Mus musculus: one gene and its partners. The protein of the gene in region 1 purifies or fractionates together with the protein of each later gene. This does not show direct contact. Links are inferred from orthologs where the notes say so. Each region holds a gene or a part of one and is shown in the gene's direction. Other genes may lie near its edges.

Region 1 (5,150 bases):
CCTGTCTCAAAAAGGCAGAGAGAGAAAGGAGAGGGTGTGAGGGGAAGAGAGGCTAAGTACCAACTAAGCTACAGCCTTATTTTAAATACTGATAAAAATCAACTCTCAATAAAACTCTAGCTATGCTCTATTCCTTAAAGGGTGGTTCATTTGCAGACAATTTCTAGCTACAAAGTGCTGAGGAGAGATATTAAGGGCAGATTAGTACCTAATCAAAGTCGTTCTTCCAATCCATAGCATCAGTGGCTTAAAAAAGATAGGAAGGGAGCTGGGGAGGGATTGGTGGACAGTTATCTAAGGCATTTTTTATGTAGAGAACAATTTTGGCTACTCACTGTCCTCTGGTCTCTCTGGAACTGACTCCTGTATTAGACAGGGAGAGCCTCTTTCACTGTGGAGAGCTTTAGGGACTCTCCTTGCACTGTCTGGTGCCTGTTTGCCAGCTCTACATTATTTTCCTGTTTGTGCAAGTCTACCTTGAGTTTCACCAAGTGATTTGACACAGAGATATGAGGAGGAGGAGGAGACCATGACCCTTTAGCATTCCCTTAGGGTGAAATGAGAGACTGGTCCTGGTTTATTTCAGCTGCGTTGGAAGAACCAGGTGTTTCCAGCCAACTGGGCCAGCCACATTAACCAAAGGTTGCCAAGCAGTAAATTCCTTTGGTGCAGGCGCTCTCTCTTTTATTCACCAGTGACTAGATGATGCTTAACCTGCTTTGAAGTTGAGCAGTTTCTAGCTTCAAGATTGGTTCTGAAACATAATAACTAGGTATCCTTGGGCACTTAAGCTCCCTTAATGCAGCCTCACAGCCTATAAAATGATACAAATAAACACCCACTCCTTTGATTTAAGGAAGCTAAATGATACTCTTGCTCCAGTGGGCTCAGTGCTTGGAGAATCCAGGGTGTGTGGTCTCCCAAGATACCGTCCTTTTTGTCAAACACTACAAGCACAGTACTTAGAGATCATGTCAATAGCGGCTCTAAGAAGTCCTTTGCCCGAGGCTGCCAGCGCTATAAAAGTTGTAGAGTGTTTACCCCAGAAGGACTGGTTTTCATTTTATCTGTAGTGTTTGAATGTTTACGTGTATTAAAATTTAAAATAAGCATATTTTTGAAGAGGAAAACCGGTTTGGCCAGCAGGGTTACCAGCTTTTTTGCTGAGCTTTTCAATTCTTTCAGATACTGCAAAAACAAGGACGAGAAAACTCTACAGTTATTACCTCTGGTTTTTGTTTTGTTTTTTGTTTGTTTTTTGTTTTGGTTTTTCGAGACAGGGTTTCTCTGTGTAGCCCTGGCTGTCCTAGAACTCACTCTGTAGACCGGGCTGGCCTTGAACTCAGAAATCCACCTGCCTCTGCCTCCCAAGTGCTGGGATTAAAGGCATGAGCCATCACTGCCCGGCATTACCTCTGTTGCTATGGCAGCCCTTCGCACACGGGCCTGTGGGTAGAAACAAAGTAAAAAAAATAATAATAAAAATAAAAATAATAATCCTTTTACACTCGACTCTTAGACTACCTGCCACATCCTACCTTCACACCCGAGGATTCTTCGGGTGAAGTTTATCTACACTTTTCCCGCCCGGGGACAACTAAGGCACAGAGAGGAATAAAAGGCGCGAGTAGGACTGGGCCCGGAGGATTCTCAGCCCTGGCTAGGTCGCTCCCGGTAGCGGTAGCGGGAACGTGAACGCTGCTGCCTGCCCGACCAGGCCCGAGGGGCGGGCCTCAGGCCTCGGTCTCGCCTGAGCCTGCCGCCTGCCGCCCGCCGCCCGCCGCTTCCCGGCCACAGTGCCGGGCGACGCCGCCAGCATGCTGCAGAAGCGGGAGAAGGTGCTGCTGCTGAGGACCTTCCAGGGTCGGACGCTGCGGATCGTGCGTGAACACTACCTGCGGCCCAGCGTGCCTTGCAACAGCCCGCTGTGCCCGCAGCCTGCCGCCTGCCGCAACGGTCAGAGCCGGGGTGGACCGGGAAGGCCCGGGCGGGAAGAGCGAGGGAGGCCGGAGCCGGAGAGGGAAGCCGGGGCTCGGAGAGCGAGAGAAGCCGGGACTCGGAGAACGAGGGAAGCCAGGACCAAAGGAACGAGGGAGGCCGGGGCCTGACGTAGCGAAGGCTGCCGGGCGCGAGCGAAGGGACCTGAGGCCTGAGGAGCGAGGGTGGCAGAGGCCCAAAGAGCAAAGGGAATCCCGGCCTGGCGTCGCGATGGCGGCGGGGCCCTAGTGAAGGAAGCGGGACCCAAGGAGAGAGGAGAGCGGGAAGCTGAGCAGCGAGGGCGGCTTAGCGCTGGCATCAAGGGCGGAGCCAGACCCTCGCGGACTGTAGGCAGCCGGAGCGAGCATAACCGTCTGGGCTCGGCGGTACTGGGGCAGCCGGGAGCGGCCCTGGAGCGTCCCCGGTGCGTCCAGTCTTCCCTCCCAGTGGCCGGCACAGGCAGGACCGGCCTCTGCAGCCTCAGGGGCGCTCCTCTCCGGACCTGCCTGCTACAATAGCCGGGCTAAGTGGAAGAGCCTGCAGGCACCGGATGCTTCGGTTTTTCCAGGGGGACCTAAGGGCGTAGGCACCTCCTCCTTTCTGCCCGAAAATGCTATTGGCACCTTACTCCTGAGCGTATTACGCTGGCTGGACATTTGACATTGCCTGCTCTGCTCCTGCCAGTACGCAGACCCTCCAGCTGTTTGTTACCCCTAGTGGGAGATGAGCGTGAGGGGGTCTTTTCAGAATACATGATTGAGGTCACAGCTTGACCAAGGTGTCAGTTGAGTGGAAGCCCATTGATTGAACAGCGCATCCTTTTTAGGACGTTCTCCTCAACCCTAGAACCGTGTAGCCGTGTTAGGAAGCTTCAGACCGAATAGCCTTGGAATTGTTAGATGCTTACAAGGGGTCAACACACACACACATGTGCACTCTTGCCCTTACATATATATACACGTGTGTATATGTAGATAGAGATATAATGGATATGTAAGTAGCCAACGCAGTCAGTGCTCATGCATGTCTGTGATGGCTTAGTAGAAATTTAGTTTCTTCCAGGGACGTACTTGTTTTTAAAATATCATTCTTTCGAAGAAGTGCTGGCTACAACATAAACCATGTTGGGCTTGTATTTAATCACAGCTGAGGGGAGGGGGAGCAATGGAGCTGAACTTTGAGCCTCCACCAAAGTAGATTTGTCTTGTCTTTTAAAAACTTCAAGGTGAAATTAAGATGAGAAGTTATTTTGCACACCGGGAGCACTGTGACATTGAAATAGTCATAAACCAGGTTTGAAAATGTTACCTAATGGCTTCCACTCTGAATTATGTTTCAGATGGGAAGCTCCTGGCTGCCGAAGTCACTCATTACGTGATCCCAGACTGGAAAGTTGTCCAGGATTACCTCGAGGTTCTGGAGTTCCCGGAGTTGAAGGGAGTTATTTTCATGCAAACGGCCTGTCAAGCTGTGCAGCACCAGAGAGGCCGGAGGTATCTGTTTTGCATTATTTATTTATTTATTTATTTTCAGTACCGGTTCCCCTGCCCCCTTTAGAAAAGGTCCCTTGTTAGAGGGAAAGAGGAGGAATTCATTATTTTGTCAGAAAGGATTTTTGAAACTAATTTGGTATTCTCTTTGCTGGTGAGGAATGTAGTAACATTTTATATGTGTGCTTCAACACCTGGCCAAAAGATCTGACTGTAGATCAATAAACTGCTGGGTCCCCGGGATGTACATAGTTAAGATTCTATGGTGAACTGGCTTCTGGTTTACATTTTCATAGGTAGCACTATTATTTCTTCCTTTTATTTTTGCTAATAATATATAGTATTTAATCTTATTCATAGGTACATTGTTTCAGGAGCATTCCTTTCTTTGGAAAAGAATACTTTTAAATCTTATCTTCCTCTATTGTAGAAGCAAACTGTACTTACCGTGATTTATTCAACGAAATTAAAAATAGCTCTTTCTGATTTTTAGATTAGTCCTGTAACTATCAGCCATAGTAATTGTATTTGCTGAATAAAACATTTCTAATTGGACCAGTTTAAAATACTCACCTTGCACCTAAATGAAAGAATAATTGCCCCTTTCTGTGCAAATTTCTTAGAATACAGTTTTGCTTCATTTAATATTTGGAAACTTTTATGAGAATAGCATGTTAGAATTATATACCCAAACCCTCAACACCCCAAGGTATTTAACAAGCAGAAACTGGATTTATTCTGTTTTTAAGATGTTTTGGTTTCTTCAGCTTTTGGTAGTAAAAGGTAAAGTTTTCTTTATTTGTGTATGAAAATGATAAATTGTCCTGATGCTTAGTTCAGAGAAATATACATTAGCTAGAATGTACGTGGGTTTTTTTTTCAAATTGAATATTTTAAAATGAGCTTGAAGTTGATTTTATTCAGACACAGACATATAGATGTTTACACACAGCCAGGTTTAAACACTGCTGCAGGTGTCGTATTTCAATTTCTTTTACTAAAATCAATTTGTTGTTACCATTCAGCTCGCTCACACACAGCAAGCCTCTTCAACCTCTGTTTTCTAAAATGTTTTTAATATTAGGATTGTTTTGAAAACCAATTCCTGGGACAACCGAAAGCAAAGAGTTGGAATTTAAATGTCCTTTCTCCTGAAGGTTTCAGTAGTTAAGTTGATGAAGAGCTCCTGCTCTTGGGTTTCGCTGTGCTTTTCTGTGTCTACAGGGAAAGCAAAAGGTGAAGAATTGGCAAGTAGGCCCCACCTTTCTGATTTTTCATTAGAGGAGCACTTTGTCAGCTTGCACTGTACTGTTGGTGGCTTTAAGGTAAACCAAGTGCCAGGATACAGGCTTACTCAAATGCAACGATATCAGCCCTGTTTCTAGCAGAAAATGTTCTCCTGATACCCAGGAGCCAGGCCTGGTGGCAGGTACCTGTGATCCCAACAACTGTAAAGTAGAAGGTTCAGGAGTTCTATGTAAGTCTCAGCTATACAGAAAGCTTGAAGCCAGTACAGACTACATGAGACTCTGTCTTCACAAACAAACATGCATAATTGTATTGGTATTTAGCTATAAATCTATTTATACTCTTTATGTTTAAGTACTTAATAAGCTTTAAAACCAAATTAAACCCTTAAATTTAATGAACAACACAGTATTATAAAATCATAAATATATTACC
Region 2 (5,246 bases), on another chromosome or scaffold:
TGGCAGTAATACAGCTCTTCAATGGGCCCTTCAGACTTTCATGCTGCTGAACTTATCTGGTGTCATCCATATTTTCCTTTTCCTTTGTTCTCTCCCCATGTATTAGCTACCTTTCCTGTTGCTGTAATAAAATACCCCAAAAGAATTTGCTTAAGAGGCAAAGGCCTTATTTTGGTTCACAATTCAAGAGTATGGTCCACCTTGGGAGTAGTCACATTGCTTCCAAGGTCAGGAAGTTGAGACTGATGGAACCTTTGAATGTTTCTGTGTAGCTTTTTCACTTAGGTCTTATACACTATAGAATTCTAGCTTATGGAATGGAATGGTATTTTCCACTTTACCTACTCTCGGGTTTCCCCACATCAAATAACATAATCTAGATAATCTCTCATAAATTTGCTCAGATATTTGTTTCCATGATGAATCCAAATCCCATCATGTTGACAGTCAAGATTAATGATCACAGTCAAGATTAATGATCATTCTCTGAATTTAATGCTCTTTTATACAGTCTCTCTTTGAAAGGGAATCAAGACTCAGGAAGGGAGGCAGAGGAGGAAGTTGGTATATATATATATATATATATATATATATGTATGTATGTATGTGTGTGTGTGTGTGTGTATTTTTTTTCCAAGTGTTGAATCCAGGGCTCCCAAACGACTAGGTTGGGAGTCTGCCACTGTGTTCTGAAACTTAAGTTTATGTTGATGGGAAGACCTATGATAAATGCTGGAGGATATTTTGCAGTGATTGTGTGAAACTGAGTGGATCCCAAACACCAAAGGTAGTAGAAAGGCAGGAAAAGACTAATGGTCCCAGAAAGACCCGGGTGACTTGAAATGGTAGATGTACCAGGTTTAGCAAATCAAAGTATATAGTATGTCCAGCTAAACATGAGTTTCAGAAAGACAGCAGATTAATTTCCTGTATTCTGTATTGCCGGGTTTACTATTCGTTATCTCGCAACCCTAAAATGGGAAGGCAGTATATATAAGGGGGTTGTAGGTCCACATGTAGTGGAAGGGTGTAGTAACTTTTTTTTAGTTTTTCGAGACACGGTTTCTCTGTATAGCCCTGGCTGTCCTGGAACTCTGTAGATCAGGCTGACCTTGAACTCAGAAATCGATCTGCCTCTGCCTCCCAAGTGCTGGGATTAAAGGTGTGAGCCACCACTGCCTGGCTAGGTGTAGGAACTTTTAAAACCTTCCCAGCTGTCACATTCCAGTACTCCAGGATGAATTTCCAGTTCTATAAGAAAGGAAACTGCTTTGAATTTCAGCTTTACCATTTGCCCCATGATGGACCAACTGGCAGGAAAATGCTAGACCAAATGCTGTGGAAAAGTTCTAGCTTGGAAAACCAGCTCATAAATGATGTGGAGATTTTTGTACTGCAACCGGGCACTGGATTGGGTGCATCGGACGGTGAGTCATAGGGCCTCTGGCCAGGCTCCAATTAGGGACACCAGTTCAACTCTAGGGCCATAGGAGATGCAGCCAAAGGCCCCACTGTGCGCCTGCGCTACTCAGGCTCCGTCCTCGCCCGGCCCTGCATCCGGGTCTCAGGGAGGGGCGTGTCCGAGGGGAGGGGCAGGCCGTCGAGGAAGGGAACGATGTCGTGGGAAGCTGGAGAGCAGGGAGGGAGTGAGGCGGGGATGTAGGCGGGGCGGGGGGCGGCGCGGCGCGCGGGGTCACGTGACGTGCGTGGCGACGTGTCGGCCATCTTGTGTTGTTGAGGCTGAGGATTGACTTGGGTTCTGAGAGACTCCTGTCCCGGACCGCAGGTAACCAGTGGCTCGGTGTGTGTCTCCCCTGCCCGCGGCCATCCCGCGCCCAGTCCCCGCCATAGCGCCCCGAGCTGCCGTGGCCCGGCGCCCACCGTCGCGTCCCCGCCGCTCCGGCCCGAGCCGGCCGCATGGACACACTCAGGCTGCCCGGCAGCGGCCACGGCCGCTGCCGGCTGGGGGCGTCAGACCTGGGGACAGGGCAGGTGCGAGGTCAGCAGGAGCCTCCTCCCGTGCGAGGGTCCCGGCAGTCCAGGGAGCGTCCCGGCCGAGGGCAGCCCCCTGCTTTCGCCCCCGTGGCATCGCGGGGGAAGCCGAGGAGAGGAGGCGGGAGGCGGGGTGGGCAGTGTCAGGCCGGAGGGTTCGCCTTCCGCTGCCCGCTCCTCGGGGCTGGTCGCCCGCACAGCCTCGGGGTACCCCGGCTAACAGCTGCTGCGAGCCGACAGCTGCTCCTGCCGGCGCTCCTGCCCGCACCTGCCCCAGGGAGGTGCGCCCTTGCCTTCTCCACCGAGCATCTGGACTGGGGAAGACTGCTTCTAGGGCTGGAGGACTGGTCTTGAGCAGGCCCCAGGCAAGGTGGAGTCATGATCTGATCCTGGGACTGAGAGGCTTGGGAAAGTAGAGCCCCGGGCAGCCCCGGGGACCCGAATGTTCATACCGGCTTGAAATGGGCAAGCAGTTTCCCACGAAGCACTCTTGAACACTTTGGTTTTGTAGCTGAAATATAAATCAAGCCAGCAAGTAAGGAAGGGTGTGAAAGGAGCTGATTGTGTGACCGCGTTTGGGAAGCAGTAACGTTGCTTTGCATTTATCTAGTACGGTCTCCCCTCACCTCCAGTTTTCTCGAAAGTCAAAGCACTTAAACACACCTAGTGGTTCTATTAGGAAGGTAAGTATTCCAACATAACTTAAGAAATGAAGGGACTCAATCAGTGATGGCTTCCCACCTAGTCCCATCTACCTTGAATTATAGGTAATTATGTTTCAGAGTGTTGTATACAGGGATTGTAGTCTTCCTTATGTAGTTACTCCTCTTTAGTAACAAATGACTTCCTAAATTACAAAAACTATTATCCTACTTTTTGTACATGAGTTTTCATCCTTTTTTGTGGCTCTGACTGGCAGAATTTTTCCTTTTGGTTAGAACATATACTTTGTCTTCATTTAATGATATTTCCCTAATGTAGCAGCTTTTAGATTGCCTAGACTGGGATATGTACTTCACTGTCACATAAGAAGACACTAGGAAAACATTTAGAAGTGACATATGTCTGGAAAAATACCAACGTTGAAGATGTTGGTGATTTGCTAGAAAGAAAAAGACCATACCTTTTTTGGTACTTGACAAAGGATTTAGAGTTTTGTGGCTGGGGAAGAAGAGATTATGTACTGTATGCTGCCATTCTTGTCTTTTCCTTTCTTTTCTGTTTGACTACAAGTACTACAGTATGTAGTGTGAATGCTGAGGGACAAACATTTCTGTTTGTGTTGCGCTCACTTCTGGACATCTAAATACTTAAGTAAAAATATACAAATACTTCTTGATGTGATGATTGGGCTGTGTCCCTTAAATTGATTGAAAGTTGAAGTATGTAAGCTGAAATTGCATTTAAAGCTATCAGTCTGCTGCCCATTAATAACAGCAAAGCCTCCTATAGAATCTTGATCATCTCCCGCTTGTATGGTTAGATTTTATGTGATTTTGTGACTCTCTGGTCCTAGCCAGCAATGCCAGGGAGTATTGTACTACATACATATTGTTAACTCAGGAAGAAATCATAATTAGAAATATGAAGAATGATTTCTACTGAGTCCATATTGTTTTTACCTCATAGTAGAGTGCAAACTCTTGTTAAGTTGAACATTTCTGTGTAGGGACCATCTGTTTATGTAGGAGTAACGGGAAAAAGAAAAAGAAGAGAGATAGGGGGACTGGATAACAATTGTGGGAAGGGTTAATTTTTAAATTTAGTCCTGTGAGGAGACTTTACAGGTAAGCTAAAATTTGAGGAAACACCTGATAGGTAGAGGGCAGGGTCCTTCACCAAGAGGAAAAGAGGGCAAAGATCCTGAGATGAGAAGATAAAACTTAGGTGGGACCTATCTAAGGCTTGCTAGGAAGAGGACTGAGGCTAACTAGTCTGGGGAGACTGAAAGAAACTGATCAGATGTATTTACCCACCTCTTTGGCAGGAAGATGAGGTGGACCATTCACTGCTCTGGAGTCTTTTTTTTTTTTTGGGTGGGATGGGGTGGGGTGTTTCCAAGACAGGGTTTCTCTGTGTAGTCCTGGCTGTCCTGGAACTCACTCTGTAGACCAGGCTGGCCTTGAACTCAGAAATCTGCCTGCCTCTGCCTCCCAAGTGCTGGGATCAAAGGCGTGCACTACCATGCCCAGCTGGAGTGTGTGTGCGAGCAATCCAGGCTGACCTGAAATTGCCCTTCTCTTACCTCAGTCTCCCCAGTTTCTGAGATCTATGGAAAAGTCTTAAGAAAATCAGGTTTTATAGACTTGAGCCAAGATCCCTCCTTTCCCGTTCATTTGGAAAACTCGGGATGTTCATCTATTTCAGGAATTATAATGGATTTCTTAAAAGTAAGTTTTTAGATGTGATTGGTGTTAGACTGCCTGGAAATGCTTTTTAAAAGGAATGGCTTTTTGTTTTGTTGGTTTTGTTTTTTTGTTTTTGATTTTTCCAGACAGGGCTTCTTGATGTAGCCTTGGCTGTCCTGGAACTTGTTCTAGACCAGGCTAGCCTCTTCCTCCTGAGCACTGTGATTAAAGATGTTTACCAACACTGCCTGGCAAGAAATGGCTTTTAAAGAAGGATATCCCAGCTTCATGATTGACTAGGACATTTTGCAAACTCAGGGACTACCTGGTAACGTGGTAACTAAGATTCAGAAGAGCTAGGAATATAGCTTAGGCTTAGATCACTTGCCTAGCATGCCTGATGACCAGGTTGAATCCCCAGTACTGCCTAAACAAAAAAAAGAATAGAAATTTCAGAATATTTGGAAGTGAGGAACTGTTCTCAGGCACTGGTGATTAAGGAGTATAATCAAATGAATCAGTATATTAACCCAGGTTATCCACAGTTGGTTAGTGAAGAGTTTCTTTTACTTCTATACAGTCCAGCCTAGTTCTAATGGGCTCTCCTAATTTCTGTGGAGATCCCTTTTATCATTTTGCTTGTGTAGAATGTTTTCTATTTTTCTTTTTTTACCTTATAAGCTAGATTTCAAATTAATTTGTTGCTTAGTAGGCTGGGGACTTTTTTCTGAGGGCCTTCCAGCGTATTTTCATATTCATAAATGGACAATTTAATAACTTTTTATTTTAACTTACCTGATAAATTTTAGTATTTTGACTTTCGGAGCTTTATTTTGCTGATAGATTGACTGTATGAAAAATAATAGTAGACTTGCTTCAAAGTCATGTGAAGATAGGAATTCCAAG
Region 3 (5,158 bases), on another chromosome or scaffold:
CCAACATCTTCCCTATGTGAACTTTCTCTAGAAGGTTCGTAAGGGATGTGGGGAACTCTCTTAACTGCAGAGAACATGAACTGGACGTGGTGGGGCCTTTAGTCCTAGCACTAGGGAGGCAGAGACAAATCCATCTGTTTGAGGTCAGTGTACATGGTGAGATCCTGTCTCAAAAAAGGATGGGGGTGAGGGTGGAGATAGTTCAGTGGTTAGGAACACTGGCTACTTTCCCGGGGATCTGGGTTGGTTTCCAGCACCCATGTAGCATCTGTTACTCCAGTTGCAGGCGATCCAACACCCTCCTCTGGCTTTGCAAAACGCCCATGCATATAGTGCAGACATATGCACAGACAGAACACCCATATACACAAGATAGAAAAAAAAAAGCCTTTTTTTTATGGAGATAGGGGTGTGGGATCTAAGTACAGAGTCTTGGCTTTTATGAGGTCTAGAATTTTTAAAAGTGTAACCCATTTTAACTAGCAAGGTTCTTCTAGATGCCACAGCACAAATGTGTACCTTCAGCAGTACGTCCCATTCGTCTAATGTAATACTTCCTCCCACCCCCACTGATCACAAAGGATTTCTTGAGTTTTACTATCTCCCCCCCCCCCATTGTTAGAAATTCTTCACAGTATGGATAGTCAAGAGGCACTGTTCAAAATAAAATAAAATAAAATAAAATAAAAAACAAACAAAGCCAGGCAGTGGTGGCACACGCCTTTAATCCCAGCACTTGGGAGGCAGAGGCAGGTGAATTTCTGAGTTCGAGGCCAGCCTGGTCTACAGAGTGAGTTCCAGGACAGCCAGGGCTACACAGAGAAACCGTGTCTCGGAAAAAAAAAAAAAAGGCCCTGTTCACCTGACCCACATTTCACATGAGCAAGCTGGGGTCCAGAGTAAGAGGAACTCTCTAGAACACTCCTTTATAGGGTTCAAATTTCCATCTCTGATCCAATCTCAGACACTGTAAGAAAGACTCCTAGCCCTGCAAATTCCTTTCGTCCTCTCTCTTCTCAAAAGCCAGAGTACTTGCAAGGCTAGGCCCAAAGCCACTGGGCTGGGTGTGACAGGAGAGCTTCCTCAGCCTCCCTTACATGCCAGGCAATAGGATGATCCCCTGAGGTCTTCCTGAGGAGAAAAAGCGTGACCTTGCTGAGTGACCAGGGGACAACCACGGGCCAGTCCTGGGACACTTTCCTCACCTGTAAATACAGGCACGAACATCAATTTCTACCCCTCCTCTCTGGTGATTAAAAATAAACATCTAACAATGTAATATGTTCAGCAGATGGGTCAGGAAAATGCGTGCCTCATAGCTCTGGAGTTACATCACCAACTAGGGAATTTATTCCTGTGTATGTGATGTGGTTTTGGACAGTCCTTAGGAGTGTGGGGACAATGACTTCAGTTGAGGAGGCAATGATGAGTGAGACCATCTCGGTCCTCAGTAAGTTTGTCACCCTGGTTCGACTCCCCCCACCCCCCACTTCACCCAATATATAGGGAAGGTCTTAATGTATCCCAGGCTGTCCTCGAACTCACTATGTTGGTTAGGCAGGTCTGGATCTTCCTGCTGCCATTTCCCAAGAGCCAGAATTGCAAGTTTGTTTGTAGTGCTCTCTCGTCCTCTCCAAACACCAAGAGCAAAGGATCAACTGCCAGAGAATACCATTTACTAAAGGTTACTATGCCTGACATTTTCCCCCTGGAATCCACGGGGAGGTTAAAGTGGATGGCCGGCAGCCTGCGTAGACAATGCTCAGTGCAAGCAGCCACACCAAGACAGCCCCGGTCGGAACAAGCGCTGTCGTCCCGGGCCACCCGTCCGGGAAAGAGGCCCCGCCCAAGGCCTGAGCACTGACGTTCCGCTGAGCGCCTCGCCAGCCAACCGGAAGTAGCCGGGCCCTTAGCGATGGGACCCGGTAGAGCGGAAGTCACTCCGTGAGGCAGTGGCGACAGCGGCGGCAAGAGGATGAACAACAAGTTCGACGCGTGAGTGGCGCGTGGCCGACCCCGGGGCCCCTTCCCCCAACCGTCCCCCGGGACCGCTCCCGCCGGGGCCGGGCGCGCCCTCAGCCGAGCCGCTCGCTCCCGGGCCGCCGCAGCCCGAGCCTTCCTGCGCCCGCGGGCCCGACGGGGCCGGGAGAGCGCGGCCGAGGTCGCCGGGACCCCTGAGCCGCTGGACCCCGGCGCGGCACGGGCCGGGGGAGGGGAGGCCGCGCCGCCCGGAAGGAGATTTTCGGACGCCCCGCCCTGGTGGGTGCGGGCTGCCGGCGGCGTGGAGGGGCGGGACCTCAGCGCTTCGGGTGTTTCCGCAGCCTTGCTGCCTTCTCTCTGAACGCGGCTTCCCTCCCGCACTCGCTCGGCGTCCTGGGAAGGTCACCTCTCCCTTCCGAGCCTCGATTTTGTCTTCTGCAAGCGGGGACGGTAACAGAGCCCGTGTCGTAGAGTTGGGCAGCTGCGATGAGGTAATGGGGCAGCCGCGCTGAGTACTGTGGCCTCTCGAGTACGGAATGCTTTTCATCTGAGATTCTTCCTGCTTCCTCCCCGACCACCACCCTCCCTTCATCCCCCACCCCGTCCCTGTCTTTCAACTCTTAGTGGCTGCCCACCCCTGCATTCATCTCCAATTCCCGCAGCGAACAGTTGGGAAGTACAGAGAAGAAATATGTGTTGGGGTGGGGGATGGGGGGGTGAGAACATTCCCCTCCTAACGATTAAATCTTTTAGCATTTAAAAGTAATTTTCGTTTTCATCTAGCCCCACTTAAGTTAGTGTTTCACAAGAATTGTATCCCTGGGTAGATTGCAGTGCTCCCTCCTCTCTATGGTTTGTAGTGATCAAATCTGGTTTATCATTCAAAGGCCTACATTTTTAGTTTTAAGCCCACCAGCTGTTTGACAGTACAAAAGTCCTCCAGTCTGAGCCATCGATCTCACCTCTGTAGTGGTTAGGACCGGAAGGACCACATCACGCTCTGCAATACTTAGAGGTACTGTGTAAAATGCTGAGCATGAGCTGTGAAGGGAAAGTGGACTCACTGATAGGTGGTGAAGCTGCAGGTTTTCAATACAGTGAGTTCAGAGGTGCAGACTCAGGAAGTACTGGGATGGGGATTCCAGTTGTACAGCCAGCTCTTCCTTAGGTTTTCATGGTGGCTGAGTGAGCTCTGCTTCTTGAGAAAAGACCTGATGTCTTCTCCACCTTGCTTATTAGCAGAGTCCAGCAGGATAGAGATCCATTGGTCTCCTGTCATAGGCCCTGCAATACCTAGCTTCATACCTGCAGCCCTTCCTCCCTTCTTCTCCTATTGGAACAAATCAAACTGCATCCTAAGAAGATAGTTTTTAGGTTGCCTGTCTTGAATAAGGATGGTTATGTTGGCCACTGTCGTCGTCACTGTTCTGTTGCTGTTGAAGAGATGCCATGACCAGGCAACTGTTTTTTTGTTGTTGTTGTTTTTGGGGGGTGGGGGTGGGGTCTGAGACAGGGTTTCTCTGTGTAGCCCTGGCTGTCCTGGAACTCACTCTGTAGACCAGGCTGGCCTTGAACTCAGAGAAATCCGCCTGCCTCTGCCTCCCGAGTGCTGGGATTAAAGGTGTGTGTCACCACTGCCCGGCCGGGCAACTCTTATGACAAGTTTTTTCTTTTTCTTTTTTACTTATTTATTTAACTAACAAGGCCACACACCTCCTAATCCTTCCTAGCAGTTCTGCTCCCTGGTGACTAAGCATTCAAATATATGAGCCTATGGTGGTCATTCTTAGTCTAGCCACTGCAGCCACCCAGAGGCATCCCTGTGGATTTGTTTCCTAACTTTTTAGGTTAGCATAGAAAGTAGCAGGTTCTATTAGGACACCTTCATACTCAGGCCATTACTTTGTTCTCCTTCTTCCCTGCCCCCACTGGACTCGCTGTGGTCCCTCTCTAGCTCGCTTTTTTTCTTCTAGCTGTCCCCCAAGTCCCTATTGCATGTATTATATTCCTCTCTATTTCCCACTAGCTTCTTCCTAATAACTCTGCAAAAGAGATCTTGGCATGTTTTCTGATAGTTAAGGAAAATGAGGCTTTTCAAGGTTAAGTAACTAGTGCAAGATAGCCTAAAGGGCCAGCTCAGGCTCACTCTTCTACTTTGTTCAAGTGTCTTTATCAACATTTGCTGGGTGGTTTAATTGTTTATAACTATGAGCTGTTGTAAAGAGTAGGGTCTTTTAATGCCCTCTTCCTCCTTCTTCTTCTTTTTTTCAATTATTTATTTTGTATATGAGACACTGTCACTGTCCTCAGACATACCAGAAGAGGCCATTAGATCTCATTACACATGGTTGTGAGCTACCATGTGATTGCTCACATTGAACTTAGGACTTGGAAGAGCGGTTAGTACTTTTAACTGTTGAGTTATCTCTTCAACCCCACCTGTCTTCTAACTTTGCAATAAAGGACAAAAATAAAAGCTTGCTTTTATTTGAAATTAGCAATTAAAATGGTACCCTTGTCCCTGGTTTTGGTTTTGTCATTTCAGATTTTCTTGTGAAAACCCTGCAGTTTGTAGAATGTTGCTCCTTATTTGGAGTCTGTACTCTTTATAACATCTCCCCAGAATTTTCCAGAATCATTCTCAAAGCGTAGTCTCCAGTGAGTGCAGTAGTATGATCTGATGGACACAGATTAAAGAGGCCCTCTAACCTCCTTTAATATGTGGGCTCTGCCTCTAAGTGTGACCAAAGCTGCTAATAGCTTTAAAGGGTGGTCATTAGACTCAACAAGTGGTAAGGTCTCATTGCCTTTCATGTTATTAACATGTGAAACTCTAAGATGCCCTCTCAAGAAGTACAGCCCCAACTGTGATAAACTTGGTTTTCAGGTCCTGGGTTTTGGAAGGCCAGCCTTGATTTGGTTCCTATTTTATATGGTTCTCTTTCTGTCATTAGCTTTTGGCCTATTTTTAAGTGTTTCTAAACTACCTAATTTGATGTTTGGAGATCCATCCCTTAAACATGTTTGTTTTATGTTCGTGTGTGTTGCTAGAGATAAGAGTGGAAAATTAAAGTTCCTCCCTGCACAGAATTTGCCTAGTTCGGACGGTGTTGGGAATTACCTGGACAGGAACTTGGAAAGCTAACCCAAGTGTCACTTAGTCTGAACATGAATTGGA

Evidence for each region.
Region 2: the proteins of Dis3l (region 1) and Gigyf2 purify together in Homo sapiens (affinity purification with mass spectrometry; 3 studies listed by BioGRID and IntAct, with this or other methods). This does not show direct contact. The link is inferred for Mus musculus from reciprocal best matches to the Homo sapiens genes DIS3L and GIGYF2.
Region 3: the proteins of Dis3l (region 1) and Eif4e2 purify together in Homo sapiens (affinity purification with mass spectrometry; 3 studies listed by BioGRID and IntAct, with this or other methods). This does not show direct contact. The link is inferred for Mus musculus from reciprocal best matches to the Homo sapiens genes DIS3L and EIF4E2.

What each region holds. Positions count from the first base shown.
Region 1 is NC_000075.6:64,337,799-64,342,948, reverse strand, and holds the start of Dis3l (DIS3-like exonuclease 1), read left to right. Parts: upstream 1-1,691; 5' UTR 1,692-1,817; coding exon 1,818-1,956; intron 1,957-1,998; exon of another isoform or gene 1,999-2,068; intron 2,069-2,175; exon of another isoform or gene 2,176-2,401; intron 2,402-2,491; exon of another isoform or gene 2,492-2,660; intron 2,661-3,316; coding exon 3,317-3,470; intron 3,471-5,150. UniProt on the Homo sapiens protein: Catalytic component of the RNA exosome complex which has 3'->5' exoribonuclease activity and participates in a multitude of cellular RNA processing and degradation events.
Region 2 is NC_000067.6:87,325,307-87,330,552, forward strand, and holds the start of Gigyf2 (GRB10-interacting GYF protein 2), read left to right. Parts: upstream 1-1,691; 5' UTR 1,692-1,786; exon of another isoform or gene 1,787-1,801; intron 1,802-5,246. UniProt on the Homo sapiens protein: Key component of the 4EHP-GYF2 complex, a multiprotein complex that acts as a repressor of translation initiation. In the 4EHP-GYF2 complex, acts as a factor that bridges EIF4E2 to ZFP36/TTP, linking translation repression with mRNA decay.
Region 3 is NC_000067.6:87,212,025-87,217,182, forward strand, and holds the start of Eif4e2 (eukaryotic translation initiation factor 4E type 2), read left to right. Parts: upstream 1-1,889; 5' UTR 1,890-1,975; coding exon 1,976-1,995; exon of another isoform or gene 1,996-2,466; coding exon of another isoform or gene 2,467-2,471; intron 2,472-5,158. UniProt on the Homo sapiens protein: Recognizes and binds the 7-methylguanosine-containing mRNA cap during an early step in the initiation. Acts as a repressor of translation initiation.